Linked DNA regions of Macaca mulatta. The protein of the gene in region 1 interacts with the protein of each later gene in a pairwise test. Links are inferred from orthologs where the notes say so. Each region holds a gene or a part of one and is shown on either strand. Other genes may lie near its edges.

Region 1 (3,650 bases):
ATCTAAAAAACAATTGATGAGATTAATGTCAATCTGTTTTACGTCTTGCAGGCAAAGTCACTGAACTCAGATACCATTAAATGTTAGCTTTTAGATGAGATTAACTGTACAAAAATATTTCTTCTAATTAGAGTTTCTTTTCACAAAATGATTATTTTAAATGTGGTTAAAAGTTACTAGAACCAGCCAGGGCAACATGGCAAAACCTTAAAAACAATTAACCAGGCCTGGTGGCATGCCTGTGGTCCCAGCTACTTGGGAAGCTGAGGTGGGAAGATCACTTGAGCCTGAAAGGTAGACGATGCAGTGAGCCAGCGTTGCACCACTGCACTCCAACCTGAGTGACAGAGTGAGACCCCATCTCACAAAATTAAAAAAAAAAAAAAAGTTACTAGAAAATGTGTACTTCAAGATGATATAGATTATTTTTTCTTTCATGTTTTTAATGTGACATTAAAAGAATATGCACAAAATGATTCAGTACTAATAAGTCACCAGAGTTAATAATTTACTTAATAAATACAAGTAGAATTCTGTGTATGATTATGATAAAATCACTGTCATTAACTAAATACCAACATGTCTTTTTGAAGGGCAAGAAAGGCTGGGTTTCAGTGATCATAAAAAGAATTCCTTATGGAAGTTCTGCTATGCACGTGAATATCAGTTGTACTGGTCTCAAGGCACAAAATAGTTGGAAAGTGCTGCTCTATAGAGCTGTTAGCATTTCACAGTAAGATACTATCAGTGTTTATGTGTGTAAACTAAACATATTTAGTATGGATAAATAGATCTGCAATACATAATGCTGTCAGTATTAATTTAACAACAGTAAGTTAAAACCAACTGTAAAACGATTCTGAGGGAAAAGATTAATGCTGCATTTACTGTAAGAAAAAAGAGTCAGCCAGGTGCAGTGGCTCACGCCTGTGATCCCAGCACTTTGGGAGGCCAAGACAGACGGATCATGAGGTCAGGAGTTTGAGACTAGCCTGGCCAACATGGTGAAACCCCATCTCTACTAAAAATACAAAAATTAGCTGGCTGTGGTGGCAGGCACCTGTAATCCCAGCTGCTCGGGAGGCTGAGGCAGGAGAATCACTTGAACCTAGGAGGCAGAGGTTGCAGTGAGCCGAGATCATGCCACTGCACTCCAGTCTGGGCAACAGAGCAAGACTCCATCTCAAAAAAATAAAAAAAGAAAAAGAGTCAACCTCATTAAATATCCAATTTGTCACTTAAGAGTACAATAATACCCATTTTTTACACACCTTCCTGCCAGTTCCTTATCCAAGTACTTGGCAGCTAGTCTCGCCCCATATACTTCAGCCTGGAGAACAGCTATATGTCTACGAAGGGCTTCATTCTCTTTTCTCAACAATTTCACTTCAGCTTCAAGTTGCGCTTCTTTCATTTTTTCTTTTTTGTTTGCCTCAAGCTCTCTTTCCTATGTAATTTTTAAAAGTATATAATTTAATGAAAATAAAAACTCTTTAGCACTAGACCATGTTCTTGAAAATGCACAAAAGCCTACAGTTCAACAATGTATCATCTCTATAAAATGGAACACAAAGATCTGGATCTAGTTCTTTTGAACTAGTACCATAACATCCTGGAACTACTTCTAGATAAAATAATTGCATGCCATGGGTTACCCTGATATGGAGGATAGTAAGAAAAGTAGTCTACTCTAAGCTCATGTTATCACATATTAGTAAAAGTGACTTCAATGGGTAGTTAAATCTGCTATCTACTTCTAAAACTGACTTAGAAAACTAGACTAATATAAAAATAATCATTCTGATGGTTGTTCCCAAACATTTAATTAACTTTAATGCAACAAGTCTATAAAGTCGACTTGTCAGAAATTGCATGCAAAGTTATGCATGTCTGTCTTAAAGTCAGAATCATTCAGTTACACAGATACATTTTATAGCTAATTTATCTTAGAGGACCACAAGAAACTTATAAGGAATAAACTAGAGGATATACTAGTTTTCTAATAAACATTTTATAGTCATGAAAAACTGCTAGTAACAACTGCATTAAAACATTTACACATTACAAAGTTTCTATAGATTAATCACATCTATGGAGTGGATTACCACTGAACTTTGTTATCCGGTTCATCTATTTGTCTGCATGTTAAGAGTGAATGCAGAACGTTTTTCTGAGGAAAACACTGGCCTCACTTGCCTCCTACGTTCCTCTTGGTAGATAGTCCATATATGTGAACATAAAGGTGTTAGCCAGAGACTTTAACCGCAAGATCTTCACCATCAAATTTTTATCAGAAGTTCATATATGAGAAATAATGTTCAATTTACCTTAAAAGCATAAAGTATAATCTTTCCTACAGATCAAGGGTTGCAAATGTAAATGCCTTCAGGATCCAAGTGCAGAAACAGGCAGGTACAAGACAAAATAGAGTACAAAACAGAAGGTACAAAAAATTCTGCCCATAGGCAGGCAAATTCAAACTCAAACACACACACAAAACTATATGGCCAAATAAAACCCTTTTGAGAGTTAAATAAGGGCCCCAGCAGACATTTTAAGTGTTATTTGTAGGTCAAAAAAATCACCTAAACACTGAAAACTTGCATTTATCCTGAGCAGAACTGCTTTTACAGAATCCACAAATCCTATGAAAACATGGTTACATTTGTTCATGATATGTGGAAGACATTATTCCCTATACCACCATGTCCCTTTTGTGAGGATGTAAATAAAAACCTACCTTAGCACCAGAGAAATTGTTTCTCTTGAGGAAATGATGAATAGTATTGTTTCTATTGTATGCACTGATTATTTTACATAATTATTTCCCTTTTTATTCTGGATATTGAGAAGCTAAGAAACAAATTTAAGCATATTTTCAGCAATTCATGGAATATATTTTGGTACTAATTTAACGTGTCTCCTTTGGTCTACTGTTTTGAACAACATCAAAATAGATATATTTGAATACTAGTCAATAAATACCATAATCCTAAAGAAAAAATTTACATACATACACACAAACACACACACACATACAAGCTAAAACTAACGACAACTACCAAATGCTAGATATATTTGTCACTTCTTTGATTAAAAATATTTGTTATATATATGACAAACATATGAAAGATTAGGAGACTCTTTCAATTTCTGGGAAAAAAAGATTAGAACATAATTTCTAGATACTAGTTTTAAAGGATTTGAAAATCTCAATCTAGAATCCTCCTTTTAACATAATTTTGGAATTATTAAAATCTTTATTTCAGAACCTATGTCCTAAAAGGGCAAGTATCTGTTTCAAAAGAAACCAGTTTGGAGATATGAACAAAAATCTTTCTTATGACATTTTAAAGTTGATGCAACTTTTAAAAAAGCATTCCTAGAAGATCAAGACTTCTTTGGTTTATGGGCTAAATAAACTTTATGTTGACGATTACCTACTTTCAATTACTTTAATGAGTTATTTATACTACATTAATGAAACGTAGGAGACGTACTAAGCTACCACCGACTGGGGTTTTAATGATTTAAATCCCTAATGAATCTGATAAACTCTCAGGCCTCAAATTAACAGAGGTAAGCAAGAATAAGACTAAGAAAACTGAAGTTAACCATTTCTAGATTTCCAGAAAAAAAATTTTTTTGAT
Region 2 (3,750 bases), on another chromosome or scaffold:
CCGGCGCCTGCAGCAGCCGCAACAGCAGGTCGAGGCCGCCGTCCAGGCGGATGGCGTCGCACAGACCCTGGGCTACCTCGCGGCCCACGGCCGGCAGCAGCCAGGCCTCCTCCACCAGTTGGAAGACCTCGGCCAGGCCGGCGCCCACGGCCCGCGCGCCGCCCGCCTGCTTCAGCGCGGACAAGGCCTGCTGCAGCTCCGGCAGCGCGCGCTCCAGGGCGTCCTGCACCTCGGAGCCTGCCCCCGGCGATACTTCGCGGGGCCCGCGGCCGCCCGCAGCCCACCATGGGCCCGTGCCACCGCCCCCATCCGGCCCCGGCACCGCCAGCCGCTCGGCGCCTGGCCGTGGGCCCGACATGGCGAAGAAACGACACAGCTTGTAGGCGGAGAGGAGCAGCGTCAGGACCATGGGCGCGGGGCCGCGGGGGACATCCCCGGCCTGGAGGCGGGGGCCGCGCGGAGAGATCCCGGTTTTGGGAAAAGAGGGACCCGAGAGGGGTCGGGGGAAGAAGATGGAGGGAGAGGAATAGAGAGAAGGGTACCAGGCAAGGGTGCCGGTCAGAAGTTTGAGGGAGGAGTGAGGGCAGGATCGGGGGCGCAGCGGTTGGCAAAGGTGATGCAGGCCAAGATGCAGGGAGTGGGCGAAAGGAGAGAGAGAGGAGGCGAGGGATGGCTCCGGACGCCGGAGGGTAGAGGAGGCGGCGGCTGGAACAAAGCGTTGCCCGGGCAGGGGCTCGGCTGAGCTGGGAGATGCTCGGCAGCAGCCACGCCCTGGAACCGCAGCGGACCCGGGGCCGATGCCCCGCCTCTGGGTCCAGCGGGGCTCCTCCAGCCTCCTGCGCAGCCCCACCCCCAAGTCGTCCCCAGCCACGCCCACGCCCCTGGCCAGCCTTTCCCAGCCCCTCAGTCGCAGCCGCCTCCTCCTGCGCTGGACTTGGAGGAAGGGGGTCGAAAATGAGATGACAGTCTCCGTTCTCCACCTCCTCTTCCCCGCCCCGCGTGACACCAGTACGTGGGAGCAACACCGCTGCGTGCCCCCTCCCTACTAAGTGGTTAAAACAATCATCATAACTCTTAAGGCCCTTTTATGCCTGTTTCTCAGCTAGACCTCACAACATGCCTCTGGGGTGGGAATCGGTGTTCCATTCCACAGCTGACTCCACTGAAGCCCATGAGGAAGAGATTGGCCAAAATCACAGTCCCCTCTGATTACAGAACAGAAAAATCAGCTAAAATCTCAGGATCACTTTTTTTTTCAGGTGATGGCAGGACTTCAGAAGCTCTGTGGACACCTGAAATTGGGCACAAAATCAGGTGTTTCACGCCAGTGGGCATTTTCCAGGTAGAGGGATCGTATTTCTCTTGAGAGTCTAAAAGTGTGAACAAGCCCACTCTTTACAGATGGGAAGACTGAGGCTGGGGACAGGGAGTGACCTGCTCAGAAAAGACTCAGAAATCAAATCTAGTTCAGTGGGTTGATATTTACCCAAATTTCCAGCCTGGGGAGATTGATGCACCCAAGCGAAGAACCCAGAAATGAAACTGTGTTCTTTTATGCTAAAAAAGAAAATTCCCCAGAGTGCTTACAAACTCTCCTCCCACTCCCTTTTTCCTGCCCTAAATAAACAATGGCGAATGAGCACCCAGCCAGGGATGTGTCTGATCAAACAATCATGGATCAATAGCCATGTTTGGAGAAGGAATTTGTGACTGCTCCAGCTACTGGGCATTTTGTCTGTTCCAGTTCATGTAATCTCCCAACACCCCATGAGGCAAGGGGGTTAATCCCATTTTACTGAAACTGAACTAAGACTCAGAGAGATAAAGCTGTTGCCCAATGAGCCTTCTTTCTGGCCTCCAGATCCGCGGTGCTAATTCCCCTTCTGATGACCTAATGATTCTGAGCTTGGCAAAGGTCTTATCTCCCAGCTCTCCCAGGCCCAGTGTTCCAGGAATGTGACCTTTGCTGCAGCAGCCGCTGGAGGGGGCAGAGGGGATGGGCTGGAGGTTGAGCAAACAGAGCAGCAGAAAAGGCAGTTCCTCTTCTTCAGTCCCCTCCCTCCCTGTCTCTGCCTCTCCCTCCCTTCCTCAGGCATCAGGGAGGAGACTTCAGGGAGATCAGAGCCCAGCTTGCCAGGCACTGAGCTAGAAGTCCCGCCATGGCACCCCTGAGACCCCTTCTCATGCTGGCCCTGCTGGCATGGGTTGCTGTGGCTGACCAAGGTACAGGGGGGTGTTGGTGGCCATCTGAGTCAATGTAGGGAGGGCGAGGGTGGCCCGGGCTTGGCGGCACCTACTGACACCCCTTCCTCAAAGAGTCATGCAAGGGCCGCTGCACTGAGGGCTTCAATGCTGACAAGAAGTGCCAGTGTGATGAGCTCTGCTCTTACTACCAGAGCTGCTGCACAGACTATACGGCTGAGTGCAAGCCCCAAGGTGTGTTCAGAGCCCAGGTGGGTGGGCTGGGGTGCCCCTTGCAGCTGGAGACTCACTACCATCCACTCTCCGCAGTGACTCGTGGGGATGTGTTCACTATGCCGGAGGATGAGTATGTGACCTATGACTACGGTGAGGAGAAAAACAATGCCACCATCCATGAACAGCCGGAGGGCTCCTCCCCGAGCCCTGACCTCCAGGCCCAGCCCGAAGGGACTCCTGAGCAGGCAACTGTTCTGAACCCTGAGGAAGAATCCCCTGCACCTGAGGTGGGCATCTCTAAGCCTGAGGGGACGGACTCAAGGCCCGAGACCCTTCGTCCAGGGACCCCTGAGCTCCCAGCAGAGGAGGAGCTATGCAGTGGGAAACCCTTCGACGCCTTCACCGACCTCAAGAACGGTTCCCTCTTTGCCTTCCGAGGTGAATCCAGGGCAGGTATTGGGGATGGGGGTCTGCCCCAGGAGCGTCCCCGCTCTCACACCACCTCCTCCACTGTAGGGCAGTACTGCTATGAACTGGATGAAAAGGCAGTGAGGCCTGGGTACCCCAAGCTCATCCGAGATGTCTGGGGCATCGAGGGCCCCATTGATGCCGCCTTCACCCGCATCAACTGTCAGGGGAAGACCTACCTCTTCAAGGTGCCAGCAGCTGTGGACCAGGGTAGAAAGCATCTAGGGAGGGTTTGAGAGCTATTGCTCCCAGGGACAGGGTGGACAGGGAGGCTGGACCCAGGGCGCTGCAGGACCTGGTGGGCGCTCTGTGAGCACAGGGCAGCCCCAAGACTCCAGGTCCTGGGCAGTGAACCTGAACCTGGGAACGGCTGCCTTAGGGCAAGGGACTCTGCCTCTGTGCCTAGCCAGCAGCCTCCATACCCCTTTTCACTTTCCCCACCTCTTAGGGTAGTCAGTACTGGCGCTTTGAGGATGGTGTCCTGGACCCTGATTACCCCCGAAATATCTCTGATGGCTTCGATGGCATGCCAGACAATGTGGACGCAGCCTTGGCCCTCCCTGCCCATAGCTACAGTGGCAGGGAGCGGGTCTACTTCTTCAAGGGTACTCAGGGGGTGGGTGGGAGACTGAGCAGGCAGTGGAGCAGTCTTGGATTCCTTTCACACTTCACTGGGGACAGGCCTCAGCATGTGCCCACCCCATACCCCCACCTCATGCTGGGAGATCCTAACTTCAACAGCCTCTGGGATCTCCAGTCTGGCTCTGGCCCAGCCCTCCTAATGCCCACCACCCCGCTCCCCAGGGAAACAGTACTGGGAGTACCAGTTCCAGCACCAGCCCAGTCAGGAGGAGTGTGAAGGCA
Region 3 (3,750 bases), on another chromosome or scaffold:
TAGCACCTAACAACGGGAATATGTTCTGAGAAACCCATTGTTGTGTGAACAGCACAGAGTGTATTTACACAAACCTAGATGGTAGAGCCTGCTACGTGCCTAGGCTGTGTGGTCTAGCCTGCTACACCTAGGCTACAAACCCACACAACTTATTAGGTTCTGAATACTATAGGTATTGTAACACAATGATAATTACGTGTGTATTTCAACATAAACTTAGAAAAGGCACGGTAAATATATGGTATTATAATCTTATGTGGCCACCATCACATATGTAATCCACTGTTGACCAAAGCATTGTTATGGATATATGAGGCAACTGAAATTATTAATGCAAATGGATTTGAGAGAAAGGAAGGGTCAAGGTTGACTTCAAAGCCACAGCAAAGTTCTCTGCATCAAGCTTTGAGGAGCTCCTGAATCCCAGAGTGTGTTAGAAGCAGACCTTTTATACTTATCAGAAGCCTTAAACTGTATGTAACCCTGACTCATCATTTCCCCCACTGGGGATTGATTCCACGGAAATCATCAAGGACTCTTCTGCAAAGATGTGAGTACAGAGACGCCCATCTGGGCGCTGGTTTAACAGTGACGTATGGAGAACTACGTCATCATCCAGTAATTGGACATTGATTAAGTAGATTCTGCTCCATCCATAGGAAGAGATATTATGCCGCCTTTAATATGATGTGGTAAAACTATTAATATGGGTATATGCCTAGGATATAATGTCATTAAGCAAAAAAGAACCAGCAACAAAACCATATTGCAATATAATCCAATTTTCAAAAATGTGTGCACAATGGAAAAAAATGTCTGGAAAGATAAATAACCAAATATTAGCAGTGGTTATCTCTGGGGGCAAGATTATAAGTTTTTTTTTTTTTTTTAAATTCTCTTACCTGAAAATTCTAACTTCACTCCAGTAAGCTTGTATTACTACACGTCAAGATCTCCTGTTTCCCCCCAGATCAGACCTACATTCTCTGAAATTCCATGGCCAGAGCTGTAAAAGGCTGTCCAAGAGGAGGAAGGATCATTATTGCCTGGATCTTTATCTGTGCTGCTCTTCCAGGGATCCACTGTTGTTTCAGGATCAGCTGGGGAGAGACTCTGGCCACGTATCACCCCCACCCCAAGCCAGGACATCTCAGCTACAGTAAATCCTAAACACTGTCACAAAGTCATCTCCTTGGTCTGTGAACAAGTCATCACCAAATATCAGTTGTCTCCAGCATCACTCCATTGTTTTCACCCAGGAACTGGCATTTCATAGCACTTCACAGTTTACAGAGGTTCCTGGCCCTTGCTAAGATCTAAGTGTGGTGATCCATCTAGATAGGTTACTTGCCTTTTAGGATATTTTGTTGTTTGCAGAAGGCCATTTCATACTCTAAAACCACCCTGTGAGAGAGGCTGAATGGGGAGGACAAAGTGTGCCGGCTTTATAACCAGATTTGGAACCATTTGTCTTGGACAAATGGCTTAATCTCTCTGAACTTCATTTTCCTCCGTAAAAAAGGGTAATCATCCCACTCCTACAGGGTTGCTCTGGGGAAGGACTAGTCTATAAGGTGCCCGGTAGAATACAGAAGACATGCAAGTCTGGTTAGCATGATTATTGTTGGACCCATTTTCTAGATGGGGAAGCCAAGTCTCAGAAAGTTGAGGCGACTTGCTGAAGGCTTCCCAGCTAAAGAGTGGCTGAGTTTGAAAGATGAACCCAGTAGCCTGCCCTCCCAGGCCAGATTTCACCTGCCACGCGCTTCACGGCTGCTGCCTCTCCGGACTCTGGGGCCCTGTGACCCGTCCCTCCGCGACCCTCTCTGTCTCCTTACCTGCTCCCTCGGAGCCGCCTCCTCTGCCTCCCTTCCCTGCAGCCCTGCACGCAAGTACTTTGTTTTCTGACTTCCCAGGCCCGATTTCCAGGCAGCGTGGGTGGGTCTCATTTGCATAGGTCTTAGCAGCGCTTGGCCAGCTCTCACTGTTTCAGGTTTTCTTCTTCCTTCTGATGACTTTGGACTTCCTGTACACCCGGGAAGCTTTGGCTGCTTTGTCTTTCTCCTGTGAGTGACTCTGGCTTTTTTCTCTGAGGGGGTCAAGCGCAGTCATCCTTGCAGGCCTCTGTTCTGGGTTCGGTTGATCTCCTACCATCCCCTCGGATTCCACTGTCCTTTGTGCGCTGACCCGCCTGGACTCCTGGCTTTTGCCCAGATAGATCCTTCCCTATGCTGAGCCCCTGCAACCAAAATACAAACAGCTCTTGCAAAATACTAACAAACGCTGCCACTAATATAGCAGAAAAATAGTCAGGAGACAGTTGAGCATCTGCCTGAAGAGCCAGGGTTCTCAAGCAAGGCACACTTCTAGGTCAGAGTTCAATCCTCACTGAGAATCCAAACTCCATTTAACTAGCGATGGAGACTTGAGCAAATTAGTTAACATCTGCCAGCCTCAGTTTCCTCACCTGAAAACGGCCATAGTACCCTACCTACTTGATCTGTAGATGAAACGAGGTAATATGTGTCGAGATCGCGTAATAGCACAGTGCCTGGCACACAGTAACTCAGTAAATGTTAACCAGAACTATTATTGTTATACGACCGGTCTGTTCACATGGCCCGTCTTTTGTTCCTGCTCAAATTCTTTTTGCACCTATTATTTTTGTACCTATGGTCCTCTTTTCTCTTCTCTTCTCTTCTCTTCTCTTCTCTCTCTCTCTTTCTTCTTTCTTTTCTTTCTTTTTCTTTCTTTCTTTCTTGATATATTCTTACTCTGTCGCCCAGGCTGGAGTGCAGTGGGGCGATACTGGCTCACTGTAACCCCAATCTCCCTGGTTCCAGCAATTCTCCTCCCTCAGCCTCCCGAGTAGCTGGGACTATGGGTGCGCGCCACCATGCCCGGGTAATTTTTACATTCTTAGTAGAGACGGGGTTTCGCCATGTTGGCCAGGCTGGTCTTGAACTCCTGACCTCAGGTAATCCACCCTCCTCGACCTCCCAAAGAGCTGCGATTACAGGTGTGAGCTACCACGCCTGGCCCCTTATTTCTTTACTGACATTTTCAGCAGTACTTGAGAAATAAGTAAATAAATGTATCTGCTTGGTGATGTAATCAAACGCCCTAGTCCCCTCATGTTGTGTTTTTTTTTTTTAACAATAATTTTTATGTATTTATGTATTTTGAGACAGAGTCTCACTCTGTCGTCCAGGCTGGGGTGCAGGGCGTGATCTCAGCTCACTGCAGCCTCAACCTCCTGGGATCAAGCAATCCTCCCACCTCTGTCTCCTGAGTACCTGGGACTACAGGTGCATGCCGCCGTGGCTGGCTAATTTTTTTTTTTTTTTTTTGAGATGGAGTCTCGCTCTGTCACCCAGGCTGGAGTGTAGTGGCCAGATCTCAGCTCACTGCAAGCTCCGCCTCCCGGGTTTACACCATTCTCCCGCCTCAGCCTCCCGAGTAGCTGGGACTACAGGCGCCCGCCACCTCGCCCGGCTAAGTTTTTGTATTTTTTAGTAGAGACGGGGTTTCACCGTGTCAGCCAGGATGGTCTCGATCTCCTGACCTCGTGATCCGCCCGTCTCAGCCTCCCAAAGTGCTGGGATTACAGGCTTGAGCCACCGCGCCCGGCCGTGGCTGGCTAATTTTTGTATTTCTTGTAGAGATGGGGTTTCTCCATGTTGCCTAGGCTGGTCTCAAACTCCTGGGCTCCAGCAATCCACCTGCCAAAAGTGCTAGGATTACACCTGA

Evidence for each region. The genes of interacting proteins can lie anywhere in the genome.
Region 2: the proteins of GOPC (region 1) and VTN interact in binary tests that used the Homo sapiens proteins (3 or more experiments, as listed by UniProt). The two-hybrid records come from large-scale screens. The link is inferred for Macaca mulatta from reciprocal best matches to the Homo sapiens genes GOPC and VTN.
Region 3: the proteins of GOPC (region 1) and RNF183 interact in binary tests that used the Homo sapiens proteins (3 or more experiments, as listed by UniProt). The two-hybrid records come from large-scale screens. The link is inferred for Macaca mulatta from reciprocal best matches to the Homo sapiens genes GOPC and RNF183.

The regions. Positions count from the first base shown.
Region 1 is NC_133409.1:22,564,731-22,568,380, forward strand, and holds part of GOPC (Golgi-associated PDZ and coiled-coil motif-containing protein), read right to left. Parts: intron 1,448-3,650; coding exon 1,272-1,447; intron 1-1,271.
Region 2 is NC_133421.1:37,064,635-37,068,384, reverse strand, and holds the start of VTN (vitronectin), read left to right. Parts: upstream 1-1,257; 5' UTR 1,258-2,159; coding exon 2,160-2,223; intron 2,224-2,316; coding exon 2,317-2,436; intron 2,437-2,511; coding exon 2,512-2,856; intron 2,857-2,934; coding exon 2,935-3,074; intron 3,075-3,334; coding exon 3,335-3,491; intron 3,492-3,690; coding exon 3,691-3,750. Other genes in the region: NAD(+) hydrolase SARM1 precursor, read right to left, coding at 1-409. UniProt on the Homo sapiens protein: Vitronectin is a cell adhesion and spreading factor found in serum and tissues. Vitronectin interact with glycosaminoglycans and proteoglycans. Is recognized by certain members of the integrin family and serves as a cell-to-substrate adhesion molecule.
Region 3 is NC_133420.1:45,009,145-45,012,894, reverse strand, and holds the start of RNF183 (E3 ubiquitin-protein ligase RNF183), read right to left. Parts: upstream 2,180-3,750; 5' UTR 1,839-2,179; intron 1-1,838. UniProt on the Homo sapiens protein: Acts as an E3 ubiquitin ligase catalyzing the covalent attachment of ubiquitin moieties onto substrate proteins. Triggers apoptosis in response to prolonged ER stress by mediating the polyubiquitination and subsequent proteasomal degradation of BCL2L1.